Linked DNA regions of Caenorhabditis elegans. The protein of the gene in region 1 purifies or fractionates together with the protein of each later gene. This does not show direct contact. Each region holds a gene or a part of one and is shown on either strand. Other genes may lie near its edges. The genes, in order: hmg-3, vgln-1 and ddx-10.

Region 1 (7,081 bases):
CACTTTTTCTCACTGAAACTTGATAGACTCTTATTCTGCAACTCATATGCCAACTGAGAACCATACCCAATTTCTCAACAATATCTGTTAGTTTTATCCGAACGCACAAATATATTACAACACCACACTGCGAATATTTGGAAGAGATGTCATCACACCCACTTTCCATCTCTTCACTGTCACCTTCTTATTCCCATAGACCACCAGGGGCGGAGCAGCACACCGTCGTTGCAGGCAGAACGAGCAAGAGTGCGCGAGAACAGTGTGTGCAAGGTCAGATGGTCATTATGCAACCAATTCGAGCGTTCGTTGACCAACATTTTCGCGCGTTCTGTCAGTCTGTTGAATTGTACACTATTTCATAGTATACTCTTTTTTTCAATTTATTAACTCTTATTATTTTTCTATCTCTATTTCTTTTCTAGTTTTCAGATGGTTCCAATGAATCCAGAATTGATGCATTATCCAAATCAACCACATATGATGCCAGGCTATCCAATGATAAATGCATATCAACAGTCATATTTACAGAATCCGGCACAGTAAGTTTTTATATTTCTGTATCCAGTCATAACTTTTCGTGCATTCGAATTATTACAAAACACCAATTCTCACTTTCAGATGGACCCCAGAAATGCTTCTGTGTATGCAAATGCAAATGCAGCAAATGGTTCCAGGAACAGCAACAAACTCAACCTACATGCCACCACAATCTAAAAATACAGTCACTCCAAATGCCACATCACCGCTGAGCCAGATTTCGGACAGAGATTCGGGAAATGACACAATCTCTCCACCACTCACTTCACAGAACAGGTATGTATTTCTTCTGCGCGGTAAAAAGAAGAGTTGCGCAATGTTTGAGTGTTTGGGCGGTCTCTACTTTATGGTCCAATTTGTTTCACGCAATACGTAGAAACAGGTCACCTTGTGACGTGGCAACTGGGTAAGAGAGTGACAGGTCAGAAGAGGGGGCAGATGGGGGACTGTATTGATGACGTGGCAGATGTTACCTCCTAATGATGAATCATATTGAATCCTATTGGCAGGATTCAAGACATCTAAACGGGAATCTCTTTCAACTGGCAAGGTTGGAAGTGGGATTTGAAAATTCAGTTAGTGATTTCAAGTTGATGTAATTTTTACCAATTCACACCTAATTAGAACAAAGAGCGGTTAGATGCAACAAAAAATATTTTAAGATGTTGTACAAAGAGATTAGGTGAGAACAATAGAGTCAGATTTAGCGGAATTTGAGAACACGGTTGTACAGTATGCCGAGGGAATTCTACGTTTCAGCGAGTTACTAAATTAATAAATAAGGCAACGATGACTGGAAGATTACTTTATCCTTTCTATAGTAAAAACGTTAAATTCAATTTTTCAGCGCAACCACTCCAAACTACCATAATCAGCCACAAATGCAATTGACTCCACTTCAACAAGCAAAACCAGAAAAAGAAGAAATCTCACCATATGCAATTAATAATATTCTTTCTTCGACTCAAAGTTCTCCAGACAACGGAAATGAAGCCGATGATAAAGAGAACAGTTCTGTTCGTCGTAACACATTCCCAGCGTCATCTGCTTCAACAAAAAAGCCACGTGGTACTCCATATGACCGTACTAACACACCAATGACAGTAGTTCCACAAATGCCACAGTTTGCTCCAGACTTTTCAAACTATAATCTCACAATGAATGCTTGGAGTGAGTTCTTTAAAAAGGATAGATGTATGGTTTGTGGTGATAACTCTACTGGATATCATTATGGAGTACAGAGTTGTGAAGGATGCAAGGGATTTTTCAGAAGAAGTGTTCACAAGAATATCGCATATGTTTGTACCAAAGGAGAAAATTGCACAGTGAGTTTAATTAGACAAGCATTTCAAAAATATGCTATTATATTTTTCAGTTCTCATATGAAAATTGTGCGGCAAATCGTGGAGTACGTACTCGTTGTCAAGCTTGTCGATTTGCCAAATGCCTCGCAGTTGGAATGAATCGTGACAACGTTCGAGTGAACAAAGAAACTGATAAAGATGTTAAACCATCAGTGGCTTCGCCCAATTTTGAGATGACATCACAAGTGAAAGAGCTTACGGCCGCCTTTGTTGCAAACATGCCATGCTCTACTCACTTAACATCGGGAACTCATGCTATTGGAGCAATTAAGAAATTTATTGAATCAGTTCCAGCTTTGAGCTCACTTTTGCCAAAAGATGAAAAAGCACTTGAAATGAGTATTCAAAAAGTGATGAGTGGTATCTTGGCTATTCGTGCGGCTTTCACATTTGATCCAATCACTTTCTATTCCTGTGAGAATCCAGTAAATTTGCTTCGTGGCGGCATTCGTAATACAGTATTCAATGATTGTGAAGTTGCACTTCTCTCTGGAATTCATATACTTCAAATAGTCAATGGAGGTGTCGCTGAGGTAAGTAATTGTTTGGCATAATGCCAAAATTGTCGGAATATTCCCAAATGACACAATTAATCCCTACCATAACACTCAAGAAAGTAAATATTGCGCCAAGAAAGTTAACCTTTTTCAGATTTTTACGAGTTATTGTCAAGGATTACGCCATCAACTGTCTCAAACACATCTACAAGAGATAGGACTCTGCGATCGATTGCTCATGAGATTGGGACCGTATCTCAATCAATAACAAATATATTACTTCTGATAAATTCAGAACCGATTCGGTGTCTGGACACGCTTCCAACCGGTTCTGAATTCTCACAAAACTTTATTCCTGTCTTATGAATCAATATAGATTCAAAATACTTGTTTAAAGTCCCCTTCCCCCGTTACTATCATTTTCTATTCATGTTCTCAAAGTCTGATCATTTCTTACTGATCTCTTCCTCCAGGTGTGAATTTAATTCTCTATCTCACTCTCTCGTTCGGGCTATATACTGTTTCTTTTTGAATTTCCAATTGATGTTGTTTGTTAGGCTGTTACAGTACCAAAAATTATATTATTTGAAGTTTGTTAAAAACTTAATATATTTGGTACTGCTTCTTGGTTGTTGAAAAGATGAAATAAATATTATTTGATAATTTAACTATTTTGTATGCAGGAAAAAATTTGACGTGCCACAACTTTTACCGTTATTTGTCGTAATTTGTCGTAATAGTAATTTGTCAATTTATTTGTCAAAATTAGTCAATTATTAAAAAAATAATAAAATTAATAGAAACGGTCGTCAGATGCGGTGCTTGCGTATACAGTATACTTCGGTGTTCACGTATGATCGACTACCGTAGTTCTTTGTTTTCGGTTCGACGCGCGAAAAAATTAGAGTGCATTTTTCGAGAATTCATTTTTTTCATTCTTTTCCGGACTTTTCTTGTTCGCGGACGTTTTTCGCTTCTTTTCTTTACACGCGTTATTGACTGACAAGTTTCAGAATGACTGAGCTCAAATTCAAGGGAGTTTACGTGGAGGATATAGGCCATTTAACATGCGGAACGCTTACATTGACTGAAAATTCGATTAACTTCATAGGCGATAAGGGTGGAAAATCAGTTTACATCACAGGAACCGACGTCGATAAACTGAAATGGCAAAAGCTTGGCAACAAGCCGGGACTACGCGTTGGTCTTAGTGATGGAGGTGCTCACCGCTTCGGAGGATTCTTGGATGATGTTAGTTTGTTGTTCGTTTTCTTTATTTTTATACGTTTGTAGTCTCATTTTATTCAAATTCGAAATTTCAGGATCTTCAGAAAATCCAATCGTTCACTTCTTCTAACTGGTCTAAATCTATCAATCAATCAAATCTTTTCATCAATGGATGGAACTATGGGCAGGCCGATGTCAAAGGCAAAAATATTGAATTTTCATGGGAAAATGAACCGATTTTCGAAATTCCGTGCACGAATGTGTCAAACGTCATTGCCAACAAAAATGAGGCTATTTTGGAGTTCCATCAGAATGAACAAAGCAAAGTTCAGCTGATGGAGATGAGATTCCATATGCCAGTTGATCTAGAAAATGAGGAGGATACTGATAAAGTAGAAGAATTCAAGAAAGCAGTGCTGGCATATGCTGGATTGGAGGCTGAAACTGAGCAACCAATATGCCTTCTCACTGATATTCTGTGCACAACACCTCGTGGAAGATATGATATTAAAGTTTATCCGACAAGTATTGCACTCCACGGAAAGACGTACGATTACAAGATTCCTGTCAAAACGATCAATCGTCTATTCTTGGTTCCTCATAAAGATGGACGCCAAGTATATTTTGTGTTGTCGTTGAACCCACCCATTCGCCAGGGACAGACACACTACAGTTATCTCATTTTCGAGTTTGGGAAGGATGAAGAAGAAGATTTGGAGTTGTCGTTGACTGAGTGAGTTTATTTCAGAATTTTCTGGGAACAATTCCGTGCCACTCAAATATATTTTATATTGCCGTCCAATAATTTGAGAGTATTTCAGTGAACAACTCGACTATTTCAATGGAAATCTTCAACGTGAAATGACTGGACCAATCTATGAGACAATCTCAATTCTCTTCAAATCAATTTGCAATCTGAAAGTCACCGTTCCTGGACGATTCCTCGGAAGTTCGGGCACTCCTGCCATACAATGTACACATCGTCAGAACCTTGGATTGTTGTACCCAATGGAAAAGGGATTTTTGTTTATTCAAAAGCCGGTCATGTACATTCGCTTTGAAGAGATTAGCTCATGTCATTTCGCACGTTCTGATAGCGGAACTGTAACAAGAACTTTTGATTTTGAGATTGATCTGAAAACTGGATCATCGTTGACTTTCAGTGCAATGGATAAAGAAGAGAACAACAAACTATTCGACTATCTAAACAAGAAAGAGATCAAAATTCGCAATTCTCATCGTATCGATAACAAATCAGCTGGTTATGGAAGCAGCGATGAAGATGATATCGATCCATACAAGTCAACTGTGAAAGCAGAGGGTCGTGAACAAGATGATGACAGCGATGATGAAAGTACTGATGAGGATTATGATTTGGATAAGGATATGAAGAAGCAGAAGAATGACAAAGACTCATCAGAAGGTTCTGGAAGTGAACCTGACGATGAATATGATTCTGGCTCAGAGAAAGATGCTTCAGGAACTGGAGAATCTGATCCAGATGAAGAGAATATTGAACCAAAAAAGAAGGAGAGTAAAGAAAAGAAGAATAAACGCGAGAAGAAAGAGAAGCCGGTAAAGGAGAAAGCTGTGAAGAAAGGAAAGAAAACTAAAGATCCAAATGAGCCGAAACGAGCAACCACTGCATATATCATCTGGTTCAATGCCAATCGTAATTCAATGAAAGAAGATGGGGATACACTCGGAGATGTTGCTAAAAAAGCCGGAGCAAAGTGGAAGTCCATGAGTGCGGATGATAAAAAGGTATTTTTATAGACTTTTCAAATCAAAAACTCTTTTAATTTTAGAAAAAACCATGATTTTCGAATCTAAAAAATTCAATCACTTTTAGAGCCATTAAAAATGTTTTGTTTTATCCCGTTAGTAATTATTTTTATTCAGGAATGGAACGATAAGGCTGCACAGGACAAGGCAAGATACGAAGCGGAAATGAAAGAATACAAGAAGAATGGTGGAGGAGTAGAGAAAGCATCTGGACCATCCACGAAGAAAAGCTCCGATCAATCTCCGGGTAAACAGTTCAAGTCTAAGGAGCATATCAGTGATACGGATGATTCCGATGACGATGAGCCGCTAAAGGCGAAGAAAGACGAATCCGATGCTGCCTCCGAGTCTTCTGGTGAATCGGATTGATTTTCTGACTAAATATTTTATTGTTGCTTTTTATTCGCCTTCCTTCTTACTTTCATAGATCTCTTTCATCCTCTTTCCAATCATTTACCCATTTTATATTGGATTCCCATTAATTTCAATTATAACTGTAAAATGAATTTATCGATGATGGTTAAAAAGAGAGAAAAAATCAGTAACAATAATGGCATGGGGGATTGTGAAAAATGATTACAATATTAATATTTAATACGATATTTGAAGATTCCAATTCAAAAGGGGGATTGTTTTGAATATAACTAGACGTCTATTTTGAAGCAATCAATTAGAAATGGAAAGTATAATTACTTGCCTGAATTTGAAGGAAAAGATAAAAAAATAGACGAGAAAAGAAGTACTAAATGATTAATCAAAAATGCATTAAAAAGTTCAAAGTATTCACAACAATCATTTTTAATCTCCAGACCGTTCCATAGCGATCGTAATTCCAGATTTTTCAAGGTTCGCAATAGCTCTTTCTTGTTTCGACTCTCCGTGTTTCGTTTTTGGAAGCGTTTGAATCGATAATTTATGTGTTAAATAAACTCGAACAGGCATCAATCCAGATTCTGTTGCAACCGGCATTTCCATCAAATCTTCATCTGAAGCACTATCAATTTGACCGATAATATACTTGATACGATCCCGAAACTCGATATTATAATATTTGATTATATCAACTGTCGTTTTTTCTTTTTGTGGACCTTCAAGACGTTCCAAAATTGTCTCCTTCGTGTTTACTGCCTGTGGATTTTCGGGATTCAGTTGTTCTTGGAATACTGTAACACTTCGGTAGACCAGCAAAGAATTGGCTGATTGTCGTCGATATTGAGCCATTATTTCCGTGAAAAGCATTGATGACTCATTTATCTTCATAATGACAAACACGCAACAAAGAAGAATTTGATCAAGATGTCTATCCATAAAAATCAAAGTGTCATTGCGAAGAAGATAATCGAAAAGTGACCAGCATTGTGATTTTGCACGAGCTCCCATTGAAACACGATCAGTGAGATCTTGAAGTCGACGAGCGGCGGTGAAATAAGTCTGAATAATGGATTTTGCAAAATTGAAATAAATGTTAGACTAATCCAATCAAGGGTGCCGGTTTTTTAGAAAATCGAAATTGTTTCGTTTTTTTGAGTTCAAGAAAAAGACCGAAAAATGACGATTTTGTCAAAAAATTGTGACTGTTTTTGAATCCGAATCAAAAAAATTGTGGCAAAACATTTTGGAATTGTTTACCAATTGTCTGATTTTTTCCAAAAAAAAATTTTTTTCGAC
Region 2 (7,081 bases), on another chromosome or scaffold:
TTTTGCCAGGCAAGGGATACATAATCCCATGAATCGGTTGCAATGTAAAACGGATTTATTTCAGACTACAACTTCAATTTACTGATCTTTTGCACACTTGAAGCGGAATACTTTAAAATTAAATGAAAGAAATGTTGAAAGTAAAGAATGTTGAAACGCGTTGTTTGTTTTTATACCACCTATTAAATCATTTTGTCACAGAAAATCAAAAATAATTCGCGGAGGCCATTTAAATTTTATGCGCTCGTGTGGTACTTTGCACAAAGAGAACTCGAAGTTGACGCAAGTTTTTTCCCTTAAAAATGATTGTGATGTTGAACAAAAAGTCACAAAGTTATTGATAGGCATTTTATTATTATAATTATGAATTACAAAAAGAGATCATCCAAAAACTCGTCAATCTCGTCGTCGACGGTTTTCTCTGTTTCAGCAGGAGGCGGTCCTTCCCAAATATCAGTTGATGCAGACAGTGTGGACGTTGATGGTTGAACTGAAAAAAAAATGTTTTAGTATTTTGATGGTGAAGGTATAATTTTTATAATGGACGAAAATCGAGAGAACTTGAAAAAAGTCATTCTGGAAACTTTACAAAACTTTCAGTTTATTTCTTTAACTACTGTAGAGTTCCGCGAAATTGCTCAAAAATGAATTTTTGCAGACTAGACTAGATTTCAATTCCTAGGAAAAGGCGAAAATTCTGGAAGTTTTGTTTTAAATATATATTTCTGAAAACAATTTTTTACCAGAAACAACATTTTTCGCCCAAAATTTAAAAAAAAAGTTCGTTTTTTCAGACATATTGTTCATAATTTATGGATTTTCTAAAACATTTTGAAACATGAAATTTTCAAAACTTGTTTTGTGTTTAAGGTTTATCTCCTGATTACGGTACTTTTCTGACAAGAATTGAGGTTTCAACTTAAATTATAATTCTATGCAAATTTTAGTTTATTTTAGATTATTTTTAAAATTTTGTTTTAAATAATATTGCACCTTTGGTTTCTTGATTTTTCGCTTCATGTTGATTCAATTCTACGTCATCATCTTCTTCCTCATCCTTTTTAGTTCGTTTCCGTTCTTTTTCCCATTTCCGAACTGCTCGTTTCTTCTGAACAACTTGTCGTTTACGTGTTCCGTAGTTGAGCTTTTCCGAGCATTTTGGGCATAATCTCGCCTTCACCAGCGTACTTTTGACCCGATTGTCTTCCTTGTAAGTGAAGTTAACCTAAGATACTTTTATTTATTATTATAGAAATCTTTAAGGAAAATCTCACCTCCCAACTAGATAAATGAGCAGTTTCATTACATTTTCTTGCTCCACACGATAGTTGTCCTTTTCCTTCTTTTACTTCATTTTCAGTTCGCCATCGCATACCTATTTTGTTCGTTTTGTACATGGAGAGATCAACTATGCAATACTCTGAAATAAACAAACATTAATTTAGAATCATTAATCTCATATTTTACCTTTAAATAATTTATCGTAATATTTCTTCGCCATTCTCGTTTCCCATGAATTTTTATCAGGTTGTGAAGCGTTAATTTCATCGTCCTCACTCCAAACAAATCTGTGATGCTTTTTAAGGACATCCAGGTCAGTTGTTTCGTCTTGAATTTTCCGATTTAACAATTTCGTAGCTCCCGGGTATGAAAGATAATATAAATTGATCATTTCCTTATGTCGATCATACGCGTTCATAGACATCATTTTTGCCATTCTTCTATGCATTCTTCCGTGCTCTTCTTCAAAACCACCTCGTCCATCAGTCTTTCGCTTTTTCAGAATTTCACTCGAATAATCTTTATTCAAAAAATCTCCTTTTCTCTTCGGTTTAGAGCTACTTGAAGGCTCATCTCCAAAATCTGATTGTAAATCGTCAATTCCATGGTATGGGTTTCGAATTTTACGGGGATCCATTGAATATTTAACTGAAAAAACTTAAATTAATGCAAATGATATGTTTATAGCATTTTTGGTAATTATTTTCAATAATTTCCTAAATTAAAACGCCAAAAACATGTTTTAACCAATTAAAACACAAAAAACAAGTTTTAAAAAATTGACACAGCTGAAACGAGTGTTACCGTACCCCGACGCGTCTCCGAACCAGTTGCCACACTGCAAGTTCGTTTGCTCTGAAAAAACTTGTTTCTGGATATTTTTTTTGCATTTTTGCGATAATTTTAGATTTTATTTTTAAAATTCGTTATGATTATTCGGAATATCTGTGCATTGAAACCTTGTTTTAGGTCCCTTAGTCGTTGCGTCGTGAGTTTGAAAACCGTTTTTTCGATAGACATATTTTGTAGGCTTCTCCTTTCTAAAAAATCATTTTTTATCTTGTTTCACGCTATATGTTCTTTCTGAGAAAATCATAGTTAGAAACATGACAAAAAATTTATCCTGCGATGCGAATTAATTCTCGGTAAATGTCTAGGTTTTTCCCAATTTAAATTTGTCTTCTATGAATAAATTAATTGAAATCTAGGAGTATTAAATAAATGAGATTCCCGCGAGGAAACTTTTTTCAAACTCTAATCCTCAGTTGCCATGTTTGCAGTTTGTGACCCTCTCGTTTTCATTATTATTTTTATGATTGTTCTTGCCATACAACTCAACTCAGTCTATCACTGCCATCTTATCAGTAGTAGCCCGACATTTTTGTGGCTCGTTTTTCTATCTAACTGGTGTCCATCAATTGAATGTCAATAAGTTTTAAGGTGCAATTACGTGTATCTATCACTCAAAATTGGGTACATGATCCCTATCGCAGGCTAGTGGCGGTGCTAGCTGCGGCTGATTTTATCTATTTCATTTGAGGTGGATGGAAAAAGAAGATAGTTGATGGAACGGCCCTGACCTAGCAACTATAATCATCCTTCTTGCATTTCCCGATTAGCAATTTGTCAGATTTCTTATTTCTTAATAGTTGTTTCTTTCGCTCCTTCATTTAGTTCAAGTTTCTTTTTTTAGCGTTATTTTACAAAAATTATGAATAGCGTTCAATTCTGATTTCTTTCTGGTTTTAATAACCCTTTTCCGAATTCCTTAATGTTTTTGCCACACTTCTCGAGACGCTAGTGAAACTAGGGAACTTTAAAAAAAAAGAGCGGCACAAGACCAGCACCGCCACGTTGTCCATCGTTCAAGAAATGCAAGAGACGCAGAGAAAGAGTGTTCTACGTTCCAACGGGGAACTATGCGAGGAGGAACTATCCTACTGCCATCTTTACTGTGTAGTTGGCCGATTTGTGTATACGTGGTGTTTGCCCTGCGAGAGAGAGAAAGAGAGAGTCTGATCGTAATACGATTCGGCCCTGACCTATTGGGCTAAATTCATACCACTGCTTAGGATTTTCGACTTCGGTTTTCGAATATACCTTGCCTTTCAATGACAAAAATAATTTCGTGAATCATACCTTCTAGCTGTTCAGAACTCCTTTTGAAAAATACACGTCGACTTGCCTCTTCTTTAATAATACTAAAATAATAATTCTTAATTGTGGTCAGATTTCGATTCGTAAGCCTCGCAAAATTTCAATTTATCTTTTCCAATTCTCCTTTCTTCCTCTATCTTTTTTGCTCCATATGACTTTGAACAAATAGTTATCTTCTTTTTTGTAGGTATTGTTTGATTCGGACGGTTCTCGAGCCTAGTTCGGTCAACATCACAGGTCGCCTCAACAGACTCCCCCGATCGGATTAATTGCCTTGCGCACGGACCCCCGGACACGGATCAGCCAACCCTTCTGACAACACGAATTATGGACAACGGACATATTGGTTGGTTAAAATTAAAAAAATATATCTTCAAGTTTTTTTGTTTCAGAAGAGACTAATAATGTCGAAATCGACCCAGCCACTGGCGGAGCTGTCATGAGCTTCAGCTATGCTTCAGATTTCCCAACCCTTCCTGACGCTGCCCCTGCATCTGCTCCAACCGCCAAACAGACTCACGTCTGGTCTCGCCCGACTCTCTCGAAATCTGAAGTTAACATCACTTTCCGTTTGGCCTCGGACGAGCGTTCCAACAAGGTGAAGAGCTTTGGAAGCACGTCAGAAGAATCAAAGAAAGCCCAGGCTATTGCCACTGCTACTAGTGAGTTTTCCCAATTCCAACGAAAATCTAATCATCTCCGCTTTCAGAGACCAGAATTGAACTCAGTGAGTCAAAGGACGGAGAACTCACTGTCGTGGTGAAGGGAGAGCGCGCAAAGGCTGAAGAAGCTCGTGCTCGCATCATCCGCGATCTCCAAACCCAGGCATCTCGTGAAATCGATATCCCAAAAGATCATCACGGACGTCTCATTGGAAAGGAGGGAGCTCTTCTCAGAAATCTCGAGGCAGAAACTAATTGTAGAATTCAAATCCCAAATCGCGATGGACCATCGTCGAAGATCACTATCACTGGACCACGCGAGGGAATTCAACGTGCTGCTGCTCACATTTTGGCCGTTTCTGAGCGCGAAGCCAAACTCGCCACAGAGCATATCGTCTGCCCAAAAAATTTGGTTGCATTTGTTCGTGGCCCAAAAAATGAGACATATGATCGCCTTACTCAAAACAATGGTGTCAAAATTAACATTCCACCACCACACGTAACGAACGAAGTTATTTCGGTAACCGGAGAAAAGGATGGAGTTCTACGTGTTGCTGCTGAAATTCGCCAGATCATCGAGTCGAAGAAAAATGTTTCGAGCATTCAAGTTGCAGTTGCTCGCACCCAACATCGTTACATTGTTGGACAATCTCGAAGCGGAATTCATGATGTTCTTCAGAAAACAGGATGCGTTGTTGAAGTACCAGCAGAAGATTCGGGATCTGACCAAGTCACACTTATCGGAAACGCTCAAGATCTTGCCAAGGCTCTGGCTCTTGTCATTGAGCGTGCTTCATCTGTGGTCACCCAATCTATTTCTGCTCCAAACTGGCTCCACAAGCATTTGATCGGACCAAAAGGAGCAACTCTTACCGCTCTCGTGCCAAACCGCAATAACGTGCAGATCGAATTTGATAACTCTAACCAGATTTTCCTCGAGGGATCTCCAGAAGAAGTTAAGCTAGCTTTCGAGCCACTCAGCAAGGAAGTTGCTCGTCTTCAAATGGAGCTCGCTATCGAGAAAGTCAAAGTTCATCCAACACTTCATCGTCATGTTATTGGACGTGGTGGATCACTCATCTCAAAAATCAAGGATCAACATGGTGTTCAGATTACTATCCCTAACGAGGAAACCAACTCTGACGAGATTGTTGTTGAAGGAAAGAAGGAAGGTGTGAAGAAGGCTGTTACCGAAATTCGGGCAATTGTCACAAAGATTGAGAACGAAAAGTCGCGTGATATCATCATTCCACAACGTCTCCACAAGCTTATTATTGGATCGAAAGGCTCCGGAGTTCAAGTCATTCGCGATTCTCATCCAAATGTATCGGTTGTGTTCCCTGATGCCAAGTCGAAGTCTGACGTTGTTAACATCCGTGGAGACAAGACTGAGGTTGATGCTGTCTACAAGAAGCTCACCGCTCTTTCTAAGGAATATGTAAGTTGAAAACACATTATTAGACGATTTTAATGAATTTTCATTTCAGGCTGAGAACAACTACCAACAAACTGTTGCAATCTTCAAAGAGTTTTTGAAGCATATTGTCGGAAAGGGAGGAGCCAGCATTCGCAAGCTTCGTGACGAAACCGAGACCCGCATTGATCTCCCAGAGAGTGGATCTGACGATGGAAAAATCACTGTCACTGGAAAGCAAGCCAATGTGGAGAAAGCGGTCGCTCAGCTGAACAAAATTCAAGAGGAACTCGCCAACGTTGCTGAAGAAAGTATTGAAATTCCACAGAAAGTCCAATCTCGATTCTTTGGAAATGGACGTCGTTTGATCTCGGACATTGAGGACGAGTGCGGTGGAGTTCATATTCGTTTCCCATCAGAGAAAAGCGAATCAACCAAAGTTACCATCCGTGGACCTGCTGGAGATGTTGCAAAGGCTGTTGGACTTCTTTCTGCTCTTGCAAAGGACAAAGAAGAAAATTATGTTGAAGATACCGTCAAGGCTAAGCCAGAGTTTCATCGTTTCCTCATTGGAAAAGGTGGATCCAAGATTGCCAAACTCCGTGACACCCTCAACGTCAGAGTTATGTTCCCGAAGGAAGGAGATGCTGAGAAGGAGACGATCCATTTGCTCGGAAAGAAAGAAGACGTGCCAAAGGCTAAGGCTGCTCTTGAAGACGCTATCAAGCAACTTTCAGAGACTGTTGACATCAAGATTACTGTAGATCCAAAATACTACAAAAACTTCCTCGCCCGTGGAGCTGCACTCGTTAAGGAGATCCAGGAACAGAACGGTGGAGTAGTCATTTCATTCCCAAAGAATGGAACTGACAGCAGTGAAGTTTCTATCCGTGGATCGAAGCAATGTGTTGAGGCTGCGAAGAACCGTATTGAAGATGTCGTTGAGGACTACGAGAAACAGATCACAGACAATGTCACCATCCCAGCTCAGTTCCATCGGGGACTTCTTGCCGGACGCGGAGCAAAGATCCACGAGCTCCAGTCAAAGTACAATGTCTCCATTAGATTCCCCAACAATCGCGAGGAAGGCTCAGAAGGATCCGATCAAGTTACTGTGTCAGGCCGTGACACCAAAGTCGAGGAAGCCAAGGAGGCTCTTCTTGCCATGGTTCCTATCTCGAAAGTCATTCAACTTCCAGTTGACATGCACCGCTCGATTATTGGTCGTGGAGGAGAGACCGTTAGTTTTTTTAGTTTTTGAATCAAAGTTTAATGAGTTAAATGTTTCAGGTTCGCAAGCTTATGCAAGACTATGATGTCAACATCTCTATTCCAAAGGACAACTCCAGCGAGGATATCACCGTGACTGGTCAGACTGAAAATGTCGATCAAGCTCTTGAGGCTCTCCGTGGAAAACTTGGCGAATACGAGGCTCAAGCCGAAGACCGCAAGCTCAAGCAATGGTCAATGTCCATCAATGTTCCAACTGATTATCATCAGAAGATTATTGGACAACGTGGAGCCACCATCACTGCTCTCAAGGAAAAGTACGGTGTTATCATCAATG
Region 3 (7,081 bases), 3.3 Mb from region 1:
AAAATTTAGAAAATTTTTTTGAAATTTTTAATCATGATATTCGGTCACTGTGGTACCATATGCATGTTTTAAAGCAATTTTCCCACTGACGCTACTCCACCTTTTAAATATATTTATTTATTATTTTTCTTTTCAGGTAGCTACGACGGGCATAACGGAGCCGTGTGGGATATCGACGTCTCATGGGACACTACCAAGTGTGTCACCGCGTCCGGAGACCTCACCGTGAAGATTTGGGATGCCGAGCTCGGCAACTGCCTCTACACAATCAACCATCAGACTCCGATGAAGTCGTGCGGATTCTCGTATTCAGGAAATTTGGTGTGCTTCACCACACAAAAGATGACAAAGAATCTCTCGACGTTCCAAGTCCGAGATCTTCGTGATTCAAGTCAAATGGTTGAGGGTGGAGAGTCATTCTTCTACTCACAATTCGATGTGAACGCCACGACCGCACTTTTCACTCAGATGGATGACCTCGTGACGATCGGATTCGAGTCTGGACTCCTTCAGCAGTACGATTTGAGAAATCCGGATACACCAATTCACACTAACGAGAGTGTTCATCGTGTTCGTCATTTTTTCGTTGTTCTCTGGAGCGCTTGCTGACACTTTACGATCTCCTGAATTGGCGGAAATTTTATTGCTAATTTTTGGTTTTTATTGTTGTGGGGAAACATTATTAGAGCCGAAAGTGTGTACAATTTGGAAAATTGGCGAAATTTCGCATTAAAAAACCGTGCGCGGCACAGTTGCGAAGAAGGCGTGCCAGGGTTGCATCCTGACTCCGCACACAAGATTAAAACCAAAAATTCGAAGAAATAATTTAGTTTTCTCGAAAAATGGAACAAAATCGGCAGTTTTTTCGATTTGAAAGCCGTGAAAATCTCATTTTGAAGAGAAAAAGCAGCAAAATCCGGCAGTGATTGATTATTTTGATTATTCTAATTTTTTTCAATGAAAAAACCAATTAAATCAATTAAAACTGTATTTTTCTCTACAAAAAATGTATATTTTAAAATTCTGAAATCAAAAAACTCCCGATTTTTGATGTAAAACCTTAAATTTTACGCGTTTTCGAGTCGTATAAAGCTTCCCAACAACAATATCCATCAAAAATTTATATTAATTTCCATAGAAACCAAAATTAGCAAAAAAACCTTATTTCCCGTGGAAACAAAATTCCGCGAATTCGGGAGTTCGTGAGGTGTCAGCAAGCGCGCTCCAATGATTATAAGACCGAGGCTCCACGAAATTCAAGATCTTGTGGAATTCCGGATCTGGCACCGTACCAACTCAAAAAAAATTAACGCAATTTTTCTGGAAAAAATCCTGACAACGATGCTCCGATGTTACGCATCGCGTGTTGTTTAGCGTTTTTCCTGAAGAAAATTTAAAAAAAAACCACATTTTTCTTCGAGAAAACTGCGAAAACTGCAGTTGGCACGGTGCCAGATCCGGAATTCGACGAGATCTTTAATCCGTGGTGCCTCCGTGATTTCTAAAATAATTTCAAAAAAAAAATTTCCCAAAATTTCAGTACAGCGTCCAAGATCTCCAACTATCACCACGCGGCGATTTCCTGATCTCCGCTTCACGCGACAAGACGGCCGCCCTGCTCGACGTGAACGATCTGAAAAAGCTGAAACAATACAAATCCGAGCGTCCCGTCAACTCGGCATGCATCTCACCGAATCGCGATCACATTTGCCTTGGAGGAGGAGAAGACGCGATGCAGGTCACACAGACGTCTGTCTCTGCTGGACACTTTGAAGCCAAGATCTATCATATGGTGTTCGAAGAGGAATTCGCCAGATTCAAGGGACATTTCGGACCGATTAACACGATGGCCTGGCATCCATCGGGCACAATTATCGCGACTGGAGGAGAAGACGGTATGGGGATTCCACTGCAACTTTTTTTTTGAACGAGGGACGAGGAAATGCGGTTTCTAGGCCATGACCGAGGATCCGACAAGATTTATCAGCAATTTATCTTGCTTTGTTTTCCGCGTTTTTTCTTTTATTTTTCACCGATGTTTCCCCCGTTTTTTCTTATTAAAACTGATGAAGAAATATTGTTTTTGCAGATGCTAAAATAATTTTCAAGTGAAAAAATTGTGAATTCAGCCGGCAAGTAGCGGTGGAAGTGGTCAATGTAATATGATGGATTACGGGAATACTAAACCTAAACTTTCTTCCAAAACATGCTATAAATGCTGCTTAGATGCTGAAACTACCTGATTTTAATAACGAGACCGCTGAAAAAGTTTTGAGATTTTCAAAATTCAACCTTTTTGGCGAAAAAGTCGAGATTTTTCCACAAAATGTTGAATTTTGAAAATCTCAAAAAACTTTTTCAGCGGTCTCGTTATTAAAATCAGGTAGTTTCAGCCTCTAAGCAGCATATGTATCATGTTTCGAAAAAAGTTTAGTGTTTAGTATTCCCGTAATCCATCATATTACATTGACCACTTTCACCGCTACTTGCCGGCTGAATTCACAATTTTTTTCACTTGGAAATTATTTTAGCATCTGGTTTTAAAAAAATTTATTTATCAGTTTTAATAAGAAAAAAACGGGGGAAAAATCGGTGAAAAATAAAAGAAAACTCGCGGAAAACATTGCAAGATAAATTGCCGATAAATCTTGTCGGATCCTCGGCCATGGCCTAGAAACCGCATTTCCTCGTCCCTCGTTCAAAAAAAAGTTGCAGTGCGATTTGAGGATTTTTCATATAAAAATTCAAAAATTATTGATTTTTTTCCAGGTTACATCAGAATTCAAGAGTTCGACGAGGACTACCTCGGCTTCACCTACGATTTTTAATTTGTTCTACGTTTTCGTTTTCTTCCTGTTTCCCGGGCGATCGTATTTGCCAAAAAAAGACCGTTTCCCCCTTTTTCCTACTCGTTCCTGTTGAAAACCGCCTAATTTTAGAGTTTAAATGACGAATTTAAGCCTATGCAGTTCGGAAAACCTTTAAAATTTATCAAATTCTAAAATTACGCGGTGGTGATTTTCTGTTTTTTCCATTTTTTCCATATTTAAGATCAATTTTCGGTGGCTTTTAATTGTTTTTTTTTTCATAAATAAATATTATTTTGAGTTAAAATTGATCTATTCCCTCGAATTTCTTGGTTTTAATCTCCAATTATTATATTTTTAAAAAAAATTAATTTTTTCTCAATTAAAAATTAAGAAAAATTGTGGGCGGAGTCAGAATGCAACCCTGGCACGCTTTTTTCGCAACTGCCGCGCACGATTTTTCCTGCAATTTTTAAATATTTTTACCCAATTTTCAGCGTTTTCAATGCCTCACACAAACGGAAAAGGCGGCGGAGCACAGAAATGGGCTGGAAATAATAAAAGAAAACGAAATTTCGATGGCGAGCAGGATCCAAGTGTCAGAAAAGCGTTGAAGGAGAAGCGGCTTCTGAAAAAGAGAAAACAGGATTTAAAGGGACAGGAGGAGACAATGCTCGACGAAGTTGAGCAGAAATATCAGGAAATGCTCAAGGTAGCTCTAAAAAATAGTTTTTTTATTAAAAAATCGATTTTTCCAGAAAAGCTCCCGCACATTTCTCCGCTTCGAGGATTTCCCGCTCTCCTGGAGGACACTGGAGGGTCTCAAGGATAATGACTACACAAAACCCACAGAAATCCAACGGGACACGATTGCCTACTCTCTGACCGGCTCAGATGTCGTCGGAGCCGCAAAAACCGGCAGCGGAAAGACTCTGGCACTGGTGATCCCCGTGCTGGAGGCTCTTTGGCGAGCAAAATGGTCTCCAGACTATGGTCTCGGAGCGCTAATCATTTCACCGACACGAGAGCTGGCTCTTCAGACATTTAGCACAATTAACGCCGTCGGAGCCCATCACGGATTCTCGTGTGGCTTGGTTATCGGCGGAAGTGACGTGGCATTCGAGAGAAATCGCATCAGCGGGATTAATATCATCGTTTGCACACCGGGACGTCTCCTACAACACATGGATGAGAATGCTCAAATGAGCTGTGATTCGCTTCAAGTTTTGGTGCTCGACGAGGCGGATCGAATGCTTGATATGGGATTCTCGAAGCAGCTCAACTCGATCATTAATAATTTGCCCGCGGAACGTCAGACGCTGCTCTTTTCGGCTACTCAGACACGAAATGTCAAGGATTTGTGCAGAGTTTGCACAAATGTGAGGGATTTCGCCCGGAAAATTGAAATAATTCCGGAATGGTTCATTAATTGAATAGGAACACGGAAAAATCGGCAATTTAAACACGTTTTCCACGTCTAAGAATTCGATTAATTTCCCAAAATCTCAATTTTTGCTTAAAAATTTATTCTCAAATTTTAACACTAAAAAAAATCCAGAAACTAATTTTTCCGTGCCTTAAAACTCAATTTTCTTGGAAAATAACTCTCAATTTTCAAAAATTTGCATGAAATTCGTCCAAAAAACTTCTAAAATGACTTTTTTCGATTAAAATTTAAAAGTTCGGCTCTTTTGCGACAAAAATGCGGTGATAAGCTTCTCTTTTTACTTTTTTGATATGAAAATCTGCAAAAACTGGTCAATTTTAAGTCAGAAAATTGGTATTTCACACCAAAATACCAAAATTGGCCATAAAATACGGTATCCGGTCTCGACACGACAATTTTTGTTCAATACAAATGGCTGTGCGCCTTTAAAGAGTACTGTAACTTTGAATTTTTGTTGTAGTGGAGTGGAATTTATATTTTTGTTGATTAAAAAATTGAGATGAAACTCAAATTTTAACCGAAAAAAAAAGAAAATTCCATGCTGCAACGAAAATTTGGAATTACAGTAATCGCTTAAAGACGCACACCCGTTTGTATTTACCAAAAAATTGTCGTGTCGAGACCGGGTACCGTACTTTGGACCAATTTTGGTCTCTCCGGCTGAAATACAATTTTTCTGACATAAAATTGGCAAGTTTTTGCAGAATTTCATACAGAAAAAGTGAAAAGAGAAGCTTATCACAGCATTTTTGTCGCAAAAAAGCCGATCTTTTTTAATCGAAAAAGATAATTTTATAAGATTTTTGGACGATTTTCAAGCTAATTTTCGAAAATTCAGCCGTTTTCTTTCATTTTTCGAGTTATTATCTTAGAAAATTGAGTTTAAAGGCAAGGAAAAATTAGTTTTTAGATTTTTTAAGTGTTAAAATTTGAGAATAAATGTTTTTGAAACATCAAAAAAACACTTTTATTTTAATGATTTAAAACCAAAAAATTCGGATTTTGGGTAATTAATCGCATTTTTAGAATTTTGGAAACAGAAAAATCCAAAGGAATTTTTTGATAAATCTAGCTAATTTTCGCTGAATTTCACTGAAAAAGTATAGTTTTTCAGATTCAATCAATCTTTAATTTAATTTAGTTTAAAATTAATTTAAATTAAGTTATATTAATTTACAATTTTAATTTAAAAAAAAAAAACAAAATTTCAGAAAAATCCATGTAGAAAATTCTGAATTTTTTGAAAAATCCACTGATGAAAGCTGAATTTTCCCTGAATTTCACTGAAATTTTCAGATTTTTTACGCGATTTCCCAAAAAATGGCAAATTTTCGACATTTGTGAAAATAAAAATTTGATTTAAACGATTTAAAACCAAAAATTTTGGAATTTTGGAAATAGAAAAATCCAAAAAAAAAAGTGGAAAAAGCTGAATTTTTCGAAAAATTTCTCTGAAAATTTATAATTTTAAAATATACTAGAAATTATAGGTTAAAATTAATTTAAATTTAATTATATTAAATTAATTAATTAAAAATTTTAATATTAAAAAAAAAACGAAATTTCAGAAAAATCCACGTAGAAAATTAAGAATTTTTTGAAGAATCTAGCTAATCTTGCCTGAATTTCACTGAAATTTTCAGAATTTTTACGCGATTTTACCTAAATTGCCAATTTTTCAGGACCCCGTCTTCGTCTCCGTACACGAAAACGCGTCAGCAGCCACTCCAGACAACCTCAAACAATCGTACGTAATCGTGGAAGAAGAGCACAAAATCAACGCTCTTTGGTCATTCATCGAAGCCCACCGAAAAAAAAAATCGCTGGTTTTCGTGAGCAGTTGCAAGCAGGCTCGATTCCTGACTGAAGCCTTCTCACAGCTCCGTCCCGGGCTCCCGGTGATGGGTCTATGGGGAACGATGAATCAGAAGAAACGAATCGAGACTTTCACGAAATTCGACGAGAGCAAAGCCGCCGTGCTCATTGCCACAGACGTAGCGTCTCGAGGACTCGATTTTGAGCATATTGATTGGGTTATTCAGGTCAGAAATTATAGAAAAAAAAACTATAATTTCTAGTATTTTTCGAAGTATTTAGTTTTCAGAGAAATTAAAATTCAGGGAAAACAACGATTTTTGCCACAAAATTGTGAAATAAGCTTTTTTTTTTAATTTTTCGGTGCGAAAATCTGCAAAAACTGGTTTTGGAACTTTTTCAAATCATAATATTATCAATTTTGAAGTCAATTTTAAATCAGAAAATTTGCATTTTTTTTTTCAATTAAAATTTAAAAACTCGCCCTACTTTTTTAGTCACAATTTTTCCGGTTTTTGACCTGAAAAATAAAAATTATGCGATTTTTTGCTTCTTTTTTATTTGTTCGGTATGAAAATGTGCAAAAACTGGCCATTTTTTTATCAGAAAATTTGTATTTTAGCTCAAAAGACCAAAATTGGCCCAAAGTATTATAGAAAAATACGATCGCACGAAAATAAACAACGACGCAACGACACTCCGCTATTTTTAAGCCCCGTCCACGATTTCATTTGCACTGCGGCCGACGCATTTCAGTGCAAATGAAATCGTGGGCGGGGCTTAAAAATAGCGGAGTGTCGTTGCGTCGTTGTTTATTTTCGTGCGATCGTATTTTTCTATAATACGGTAGCCGGTCTCGACACGACAATTTTTTTTGATAAATACAAACGGATGTGCGCCTTTAAAGAGTACTGTAATTTCAAATTTTCGTTGTCTTGAAATTTTCATCGATTTTTCATAGTTTTTTTTCTGTTAAAAGTGGGCTACGATCAGTGGGGAAATTACTTTAAAC

Evidence for each region.
Region 2: the proteins of hmg-3 (region 1) and vgln-1 purify together in Caenorhabditis elegans (affinity purification with mass spectrometry, with the first as the bait; 2 studies listed by BioGRID). This does not show direct contact.
Region 3: the proteins of hmg-3 (region 1) and ddx-10 purify together in Caenorhabditis elegans (affinity purification with mass spectrometry, with the first as the bait; 2 studies listed by BioGRID). This does not show direct contact.

Annotation. Positions count from the first base shown.
Region 1 is NC_003279.8:5,814,460-5,821,540, reverse strand, and holds hmg-3 (FACT complex subunit ssrp1-B), read left to right. Parts: upstream 1-3,408; 5' UTR 3,409-3,415; coding exon 3,416-3,652; intron 3,653-3,723; coding exon 3,724-4,361; intron 4,362-4,449; coding exon 4,450-5,392; intron 5,393-5,530; coding exon 5,531-5,782; 3' UTR 5,783-5,932; downstream 5,933-7,081. Other genes in the region: Nuclear hormone receptor family member nhr-2, read left to right, coding at 433-542, 622-816, 1,388-1,865, 1,916-2,437, 2,556-2,669; Retinoblastoma-like protein homolog lin-35, read right to left, coding at 6,212-6,844. UniProt on the Caenorhabditis elegans protein: Component of the FACT complex, a general chromatin factor that acts to reorganize nucleosomes. The FACT complex is involved in multiple processes that require DNA as a template such as mRNA elongation, DNA replication and DNA repair.
Region 2 is NC_003280.10:9,887,626-9,894,706, reverse strand, and holds the start of vgln-1 (K Homology domain-containing protein), read left to right. Parts: upstream 1-3,625; 5' UTR 3,626-3,765; coding exon 3,766-3,784; intron 3,785-3,830; coding exon 3,831-4,100; intron 4,101-4,147; coding exon 4,148-5,538; intron 5,539-5,587; coding exon 5,588-6,754; intron 6,755-6,804; coding exon 6,805-7,081. Other genes in the region: C08H9.16 (Protein FRA10AC1 homolog), read right to left, coding at 369-490, 994-1,225, 1,275-1,420, 1,468-1,918.
Region 3 is NC_003279.8:2,486,672-2,493,752, forward strand, and holds the start of ddx-10 (ATP-dependent RNA helicase), read left to right. Parts: upstream 1-3,304; 5' UTR 3,305-3,312; coding exon 3,313-3,519; intron 3,520-3,565; coding exon 3,566-4,186; intron 4,187-5,936; coding exon 5,937-6,296; intron 6,297-7,081. Other genes in the region: eif-3.I (Eukaryotic translation initiation factor 3 subunit I), read left to right, coding at 137-570, 1,541-1,895, 2,770-2,828.